Linked DNA regions of Nothobranchius furzeri. The protein of the gene in region 2 interacts with the protein of the main gene of each other region in a pairwise test. Links are inferred from orthologs where the notes say so. Each region holds a gene or a part of one and is shown on either strand. Other genes may lie near its edges.

Region 1 (4,502 bases), on a different chromosome or scaffold from region 2:
CCAGTTACCTCTGACACACCCCCAGTTACCTCAGACACACCCCCAGTTACCTCTGACACCCCCCAGTTACCTCAGACACACCCCCAGTTACCTCAGACACACCCCCAGTTACCTCAGACACCCCCCCAGTTACCTCAGACACCCCCCCAGTTACCTCAGACACACCCCCAGTTACCTCTGACACACCCCCAGTTACCTCAGACACACCCCCAGTTACCTCTGACACCCCCCCGCCCAGTTACCTCAGACACACCCTCAGTTACCTCTGACAGACATCCCCAGTTACCTCTGACACCCCCCCGCCCAGTTACCTCAGACACACCCTCAGTTACCTCTGACACACATCCCCAGTTACCCCTGACACCCCCCAGTTACCTCTGACACCCCCCCCCCTGCCCAGTTACCTCAGACACACCCCCAGTTACCTCTGACACCCCCCAGTTACCTCTGACACCCCCCCGCCCAGTTACCTCAGACACACCCCCAGTTACCTCTGACACCCCCCCCCCAGTTACCTCTGACACACACCCACAGTTACCTCTGACACACCCCCCCAGTTACCTCAGACACACCCCCCAGTTACCTCTGACACACACCCCCAGTTACCTCAGACACACCCCCAGCTACCTCTGACACCCCCCAGTTACCTCTGACATACCCCCAGTTACCTCAGACACCCCCCCAGTTACCTCTGATACCCCCCAGTTACCTCTGACACGCCCCCCAGTTACCTCTAACACACCCCCAGTTACCTCTGACACCCCCCCCCCCCAGTTACCTCTGACACACCCCCAGTTACCTCTGACCCCCCCACCCCCCAGCTCACTGTGCATCTTGATGACAGGAATATTCTGTACAGCAGGGACATTCATCCCGAGCCTCGAGGCCGGTGTCCAGCACGTTTTGGTTTTAACCCTGCTTCAACATTTCAGTTAGTAGGTGATTAACAGGCTTCTGCAGGGCCTGATGAGCTGCTGCACAGGTGATTCAACCACAAAATCCAGTGTGTTGGACCAGAGAAACCACTGAAATGTGCTGGATACCGGTCCTCGAGGCCTGGAATTGAAAAGCCGGTGTTAGACTGGGATATCCAGCCATCCCAGAGCACCCTGATGCAGCAGCGCATCCATCTGACCATGTTTTTATTTGGATGTTGCCTGATCGCTCCTCAGCCCACCGCTGCAGCAGCACAGTGCCGCTGGAAGGGAGAAAACATTTTTTGCGCACCAACGCGACGTCCTAGAGTCTGAATTTCTATCCAAGTTGCCATGGTTACCTGTGAAATGACACCTCATTTCTATGCTGCATTTTCATAACTAAGTTAGCATTGTTCATTCATGGCAGGAAGAGGCGGGATGTGACCCAGAAACACTGAGCTCATCTCTACGACAGAAGCAGCTTTCCCAGAAGGTCTGTGGTTCGGTTCTGTTGGGTTTGCCTCGGCTATGGAGGTCTCATGTTTTACTAGTAAACAGCAAATCTGCATGGGACTTTTTAAAGTTCCCATGTTTAACAACAGCTTCTTGTTTGACTTCCTGTCTGACCCGATCTGAACTCCTGAGCTTGAATGTTCTGGAAGAGTGGCGTGTGAGCGTAGGCTACGCTTTATTCCCTTCATTTATCCGTTAGGAACTTTGTTAGCAGATCAGTGTCAGCGCAGCCCATACAGTGCTGTCAGAGCGCGCGCACACACACACACACCTGATTTAATACTACACTACCTCCAGTCACTTGGATTGTGGCTGAGCGTTTCACAGGAAACGCACCAACACACCGTAGCGGCAGCAGGTCTGGTGGAGGGGGCCGGTAACCAGGCCGGGGCACCAGCAGAACCCCCATCGTTTATGAGAGGTTTTGATGTTAGTGAGTCAGGGCCCAGTCAGCTGAGGGTCACATGTCAGTAAATCCCTGTGTGTGTGTGTGTGTGTGTGTGTGTGTGTGTGTGTGAATGTAAATGTGTATGTGTGTGTATGTGTATGTGTGTGTGTGTGTGTGTGTGTGTGTGTGTGTGTGTGTAAATGTGTATGTGTGTGTAAATGTGTGTGTGTGTGTGTGTGTGTGTGTGTGTGTGTGTGTGTGTGTGTGTGTGTGTGTGTGTGTGTGTGTGTGTGTGTGTGTGTGTGTGTGTGTGTGTGTGTTACCTTGGGGTAGTCCAGAGTGAAGAAGGTCTCCAGGTTGCAGATGAGGTTCGGGTCGACCCCCTTCAGTGGTTTCAGCAGAGAGACTCCAGCTACCTGCAGGAACGGCTGCTTGACCTCTGACCTCTTCCTATGGAGGTAAAGACGCCTGCAACAGAGGTCAAAGGTCAGCTTAGACACAATGATGTGGTTCTGCTCACCAGCAACAGGACCAGGACCAGAAACCGGAGTTATGTAAAAGTCCCAACCGAACCGGAACAAGACCGGAAGTTGTGGTTTTTCTGGATAAAACATAATAAAGTTTTGCTGAATAAAAAAACTCGACGCCGGTAAACACGCAGCTGTCAGAACCAGGACCGGTCTACCGGCGGAACACCGGAAGGCTAACGGCTAATGCTACAGGCCGTGATGGGTGTGATCCGAAACCGCAGGAAGTCCTCCGTCGGGCGGACTCAGCTGTACTCGGCTGTAAGCAGCAGCTAACCGGTAACGGTCACCGGCTGGTCTAGCTGACACACGGGGATCACCGGCAGCCGAACCGGGTCGGTGATCAAGGTCCAGACACGACAGAAGGGTCACTCACACATAGATGATGGACATGAAGTGCATGAGCCACAAAACGGCGAACAGAACCAGGCCGAACACGGCCAGGCCCTGCATGGCGACATCCAGCAGGTCCATGGCTCTCCGGGGGGCTGCGGGGCTGAAGGCCGCCTCAGGGAGCTTCGGCTCTGGGTGGTCGCGACCAGCTGACTGGACAACACCGGAACCAGGAGCAACGGCTGCTGCTGCCAGAGATCCGCTCTCCGGGTAGCAGCGAAGGGCGGCAGGAAGTGGTCCGGTCCGGTCCGAGGGCTCCAGCAGCGGGGTTCGGGTTCTGTGTTCGGGGCTTATTGACAGTCAGCAGACCGATGGACGGTCAGCTGATCAACACGGGGGGGGGGGGGGGTACGGCGCCGACACCGGAAGCGAAAGCAAAGTTCGGCTTGTGCTTCCAAAATAAAAGCTTGTCTGAATAAACATACTTTTAGTAATTCATCCTTTCACTTCCGCTTATCCAGGTTGCGCCCTGCTCTCAGAACCCCTAACCTGTATACATCGGCAACAGGTAAACCCGCATTGGTGGATCTGACTCCACCAGAGCTCCTCCTGCAGACCAACCATCAAGTCCAGTCCTGCTGTCATGGTGTTCTCCTCCCTCTCGTCATCAACCATCTAAAATCTCCTCAGCCCTCATTGTAGCACCTACCTGCACCTCAGCAGGTGTGGCTCGAGCTGTCTCACCTCCAGCTTTCTCCTTCTGAACTACCTCTCACCTTTAAAATGAAAACAATGACACGAATAAAGTTCAAATAAAGGAAAACACACACACACACACACACGCTTACAGCAGCTACTACAGGTCAAACTTAGCTATTTGGTACTTTTTCGTTTGACTTGGTGAAACTCGTCTAATAACTGAACTATGTCCCTGATGACATCATCTAGAAACCAGTTCCACTTTTTTAAACAAAAACACCTAAACCCTCTTGTCATGTGACAGCCAGGATGCTTATGTGTAGTGTCATCATCATGATGACATCATAAGTCAGTGTGGTAATTAGCTGCTCCCCCAGGCAAGAAACAGGAAGTGATTCAGAGATTCTGAGAAGCCTGATTGGCTCGGACCTTTTATTCTCTCTCTCTCTGTCTAAATTGTTTATTCCTGAGTTTCAGACAGCTGTTTGTCCCCGTCAGGCCCCAGGTGAGGTGAGGCAGGTGTCCACAGTCCATCAGTGGCTCAGGGGATAAGAATTTGTCCTGTAACATGTGGGTTGCCAGTTCTAACCCAGGCTTCATCTGGGTCTAACGTAGTGCCCTTGGGCAAGACACGTCCAACACACACACACACACACACACTGGTGATAACTCGCCTCTGACATAGGAGTTGTCTGCTAAGCTGGCTCCAGAGCCATTGGTTTTTGACTCCGTTGCCTAGGCAACAGCGCATTCTAGTGGACATGTTCATCTTGTGCTTTAACAGCTTCACTGATAATGGGAGAAGTGAGCGTTTGTACCGGTTGTGCTGACAGAGGCGGACTCTGAACCTTCGTCCTGACTGGTAAAACGTATCTAGAGAGTGAAACGTGGAGGGATCTGTTCACAGTGCCTGTCTGAGGGTGGTCTGCTCAACAGGTGTGTGTCTAGAACATTTATTTTGGGGTGGCCAGGTAGAGACACAAATTAGGACAAGATGGCGCATGTAAACGACCCATAAAGTAGAAAAAAGCACAAAGTATTAATCGTAGTCTGATTGGCTACTATGAACTAAAATAAAGTCAAAGCACAATACCAACGGTGCACCTTTATTAATCATTATCTGAC
Region 2 (4,259 bases):
TTTCACATTTATAGACATGGTTCAGTTGGAGGCTGCAATTTCACCAAAAGCATTTGTGTGTGTGTGTGTGTGTGTGTGTGTGTGTGTGTGTGTGTGTGTGTGTGTGTGTGTGTGTGTGTGTGTGTGTGTGTGTGCCAGTGTGCATCTACACAGCGTATCTAGCAGACTGTTATAAAAGTAGAGCAAATGCTTTGTTTACTTTTTAAGAGAGTACAGCTAATTTGTAAAACTAAATGCACTTTTTGCATAAACTCTTCACCCTCAAATGAAATATTCCACATCCATGGCAAAAACCAAGGTCTAAATTGTGCATTCACCAAGTTGACTCAAATTAGACACATGATGATTTTTTTTAGGTTATAATAGTTCTACAGCCGATATAAAACATGTTTATGAAATGCTTTGCATGAAATCCCTCTCACATTAAGCAATTTCAGTACCTTCCAGATTGAGCTGTTTCAGGGCTCTGTCGCTTTAACAAGTTGGAGCTGGCCACGCCCACCCATCCTACGCTCAGGCTGCTATAAGCTGAGAAGCTCAGATATCTTGGAGGGGCACACCCCTCCTTTCCACCGGAGCCGTCAGCAGCACTTTACTGCAGCAGCACGTCTTGCTCGCGTATGCTGCTGCTTGGCCCTTCCCAGGAGACGCGACGCAGCAGGGGGGCAGCTGTCACCGACAGAGCACGAAGTCACGCGACATTAGCAAAATCACGCGTCAGCATAACTGACAGAGGTCCATACAGAAAAGAAATCTCGTTAATAATTAGCATAAACTCACCATCTTGCCCCCAAACCGCAGATACGTCACTCCATGTGTTATCCTTCTTGACGTTGTCTTTATAAAAACTGTGACTGGGATCAAACAGGATTGGGTACTTCTCCACTTCAGTAATCAACCTTTCGTCGTCCATTATGGAAAAACAAAGGAGACAGCTAGCTAGGTGATAACTTTTTTTTAAAGTAAAGCAACCAGATGGCAGTACGTTTCTTTATTCTGAAAATCTCGGGAAGCTTCGCTCCATTTCCGCGTCCGATTTCCTGTCTTTCCTTTCCCAAAAATGTCGAACTTGACCCATTTCAGAGGCGTAGCGCGTAGAAAACAGAGCCGGCGAGTAAGGGCCGCGACATGCTGCTCCTGAGATGCGGCCGACTCGCGCTGCTGATGCTCCAGTGGAAAAGGTTCTGTTTACCACAGCGGTTCCTATCAGCAACTATATGATGTGCTGTACGGCTCCGGTGGAAAGGAGGGGTTAGAGTAGAGACGCTGCTCCTCACGCTGTGTTGCTTTCCTTCAGGTGAGATGCTAATTTCCCCGTTTGCGATGTTACAAATGAGGACTTTTTAAAACAGCTTGTTTTAGGTGCATCATCCCTAAATCCAAACGGGCAGACAATGGATGGATGTGTTTTACTCCCGTTTGGAGTGTTTAGAGAGGCAGCAAAGACCCACACGGCAGCACAAGGGGATACATATTACGTCCCCTTTAAAACGGATGATTTACTTCCTTGTTTTGGATCAGCTGCTGCATGCTGAATGGGAAAGGGTCTGAGCAAAAGGAAGAGACTATAAGGGTTTCTTTTAAAAGCATATCTCATGAATTTTTCAGTGGATTTGTGAATAAAAGTGCAGAGCTCTAGTTTGTGCACACCAAGCGAATCCAGGGGCCATGTTACTAAAATAGCATCAAGATGAGAAGGGTTGCGTTGAGGGGGTTAAGGGCCATAATGTTCCAAGAAAATACACCTCCAGAAGCCATCACACACTGCATGGTTTAAAGCATCAGCATCATTAAAGAGATTCTGAATGAAGGCTGCAATATTTGGGTGTTTTCTATCTTATTCCTCTTGCCTCAACATCTAAAAGAATATTATTGTTTATTTGTGAGGGGTAGAACATCATTTAACCCCCCACAGGTAGGCATATTAAAAAGCTTGAATAAATTATGTTTTGATGGCCTAAAATGGTGCTAAATTGCTTTTGGTTGGAAATATCGTTTAATTTGCGGATCCATATTTGCAAATATTTCTCTTGCAGCTTGTGTTTGTGTGTTTCCTGCTCAGAAGTTTTAAACTGCGTTCAGACAAACCCAAGGCCCTCCGTCGTAATCTGTGACAAATTGACTGCGTCCATCTGTTTATAATAGGCTTCTGGTGCGTGTTGTTATTTACATTTGGCACAGACAAACCCATGTTAGGCCCAAACACAACAGCATGTTGTCCAGATATGACGATTTACCTGAGATAAGTGCGTGTTTTACCTGTAGATGCAGTTTCCATAGCAACGGGAGGCCTTTTCCCGTCGTCCTGGTAAAGATGAAATTGTTTATCCAGGTCGCCCGCCGCGTCGTTGCCTCTCGGCTTGAATTCCTCACCGAACCGAGGCGGCGCGTTCCCAAAGAGGCCGTTCCTCTCGTCTCCGAACCACTTCCCATCCGAGCCGAGCTCCTCACCGGGCTGAGCGGACATGCTGGTCGGACAGAAGATACCGCAGCTGCTGCAAGCTTCTCCTCCTCCGTGACCGTGTGAACGAGCGTTGAACGGACGGACGGAGCGGTGCAGCTGGTTCTGGTTCTGGTCCTGTCTGGTCTGGTCGGGTGGGGGTTTCAGACGCCACGGGTGAGGCGGTGCGGTCGGTTAGGGAAAAGGAGGAGAAGGGTGATTGTTTTAGTTCACTGATCCGACGCTGACGTCATAGTGTCTCGGGGTTGGCCCTTCATTCGGGACAATTATAAAATAATAAAATAAAAATTAAAAGTACTGTCTGCTTACACGTTTTAGAAAGTAAAAATATGAATACATATTTATAATAAAAGCTGAAGAAACCCCACACAACCTGCTGCTGATGACCAGAAGCATCCTACTGAAAACAGAAGCTGTTTCCAAAAAAGGAGCAACAAATTCTAATTTAATCTGTTTTGTTTGTCCAGAGGGATGTGAGTATGGAAGGCCATTGTAACACATATTCAACCCTCACATTGTTTATGTCTCCTGTTTAAATTACATTTCTCATGTGGTTTCTCATAATGGGAAAACCTAAGTTTCATAGCCCATTTAAAAATACCTCACACCGTTAGTGGTCGTCTTGTTACCTGATAGTTAAACTGGATGAATCGCAAATATCCATCTTTACTTAAAAAATAAAAATAAATAAAAACATTATATATATATATATATATATATATATATATATATATATATATATATATATATATATATATTTATGACGTTTTTCCCCATAAGCAACATTCTAACCTCCAACAAAAGATGAAGGTGTATCCACAAGTAGGCCTCTGTCTAAAAATTGTGAACATCCAAAGTAATCTTTTTTTTAGAGTAGAGCCTAGTGTATAATTCAGAACACAATAGACAGGATATTATCAGTCATCATAATGATGAATTTTGGTAAAAGATTCTAACGGAGATGCAACATTTCTGGTATTTAATGTGATAGTGTCCATGTAGCTGACAAATTTTTATCTAGTCATAACGCAGATAACCTACAGAATATCGATAATGTTTTTTTATTATTGTTAATGATTCAACAATCTTGAAATCTGAAATATTTTTAATTTTTTTATCTGAACTAAAGTCATGATTAATAAAATTTGGATTGCGGGTCTAGCAATGCTATGCAAAATTAGACAAATGGCATTCTGAGTTTCTTAAAAAGTACTAAACCAGACGAGTCTATTATGTGATAAATTTGCTTTCCGTTAAGTATATTTTCAGGTTTCATGGGTTTGAATGGGCTGCTGTCTGGCGCCCTCTTCTGGCAGCTTCGGGTATGAACAAAGTCATGAACTTTTTCTCCTTAGCAACCGCTCGTGATCGTAAACAACAAATGGACCATAGATAGGATTTTCCTCCTTATTAGGTGACAACAGTTAACTTTATTTGCTTTAACACACAATTATTTAATTTTAAATTAAATCAGTGTTAATTTTAACCTTTAATTACTTATTTACAACGAAGTCTACAGGTTAAAAAGTACTATTCTTTGGTGGGCTAGCAAAGTTAGCATAAATGTTTGTTAATAATTACAGCTGTTATTGGTTATCTCTATAAAATCCCAGGTGTGTTTATTATTTGTCTTTATTCTAATATACTCCGTAAAGAAAACAGGATAAATGCTTTAGATCATAGCTGTTTTGTGGTTTTACAGAGTTATAAAAATGCTGCAGACAGAGAAAAAGAAAATGAAACAACAAACCGAGGATGAGGAGGTGCTTAAAAAACTGGTAAGTTTTGTTTCATTTAG

Evidence for each region.
Region 1: the proteins of rtn1a (region 2) and ugcg interact in a two-hybrid assay, tested with the Homo sapiens proteins (2 studies listed by BioGRID and IntAct). The link is inferred for Nothobranchius furzeri from reciprocal best matches to the Homo sapiens genes RTN1 and UGCG.

Annotation. Positions count from the first base shown.
Region 1 is NC_091746.1:70,014,188-70,018,689, reverse strand, and holds the start of ugcg (ceramide glucosyltransferase), read right to left. Parts: upstream 3,026-4,502; 5' UTR 2,820-3,025; coding exon 2,722-2,819; intron 2,287-2,721; coding exon 2,142-2,286; intron 1-2,141. UniProt on the Homo sapiens protein: Participates in the initial step of the glucosylceramide-based glycosphingolipid/GSL synthetic pathway at the cytosolic surface of the Golgi.
Region 2 is NC_091758.1:31,279,037-31,283,295, reverse strand, and holds the start of rtn1a (reticulon-1a), read right to left. Parts: upstream 3,049-4,259; 5' UTR 2,468-3,048; coding exon 2,260-2,467; intron 1-2,259. Other genes in the region: lrrc9 (leucine-rich repeat-containing protein 9), read left to right, coding at 4,174-4,239. UniProt on the Homo sapiens protein: Inhibits amyloid precursor protein processing, probably by blocking BACE1 activity.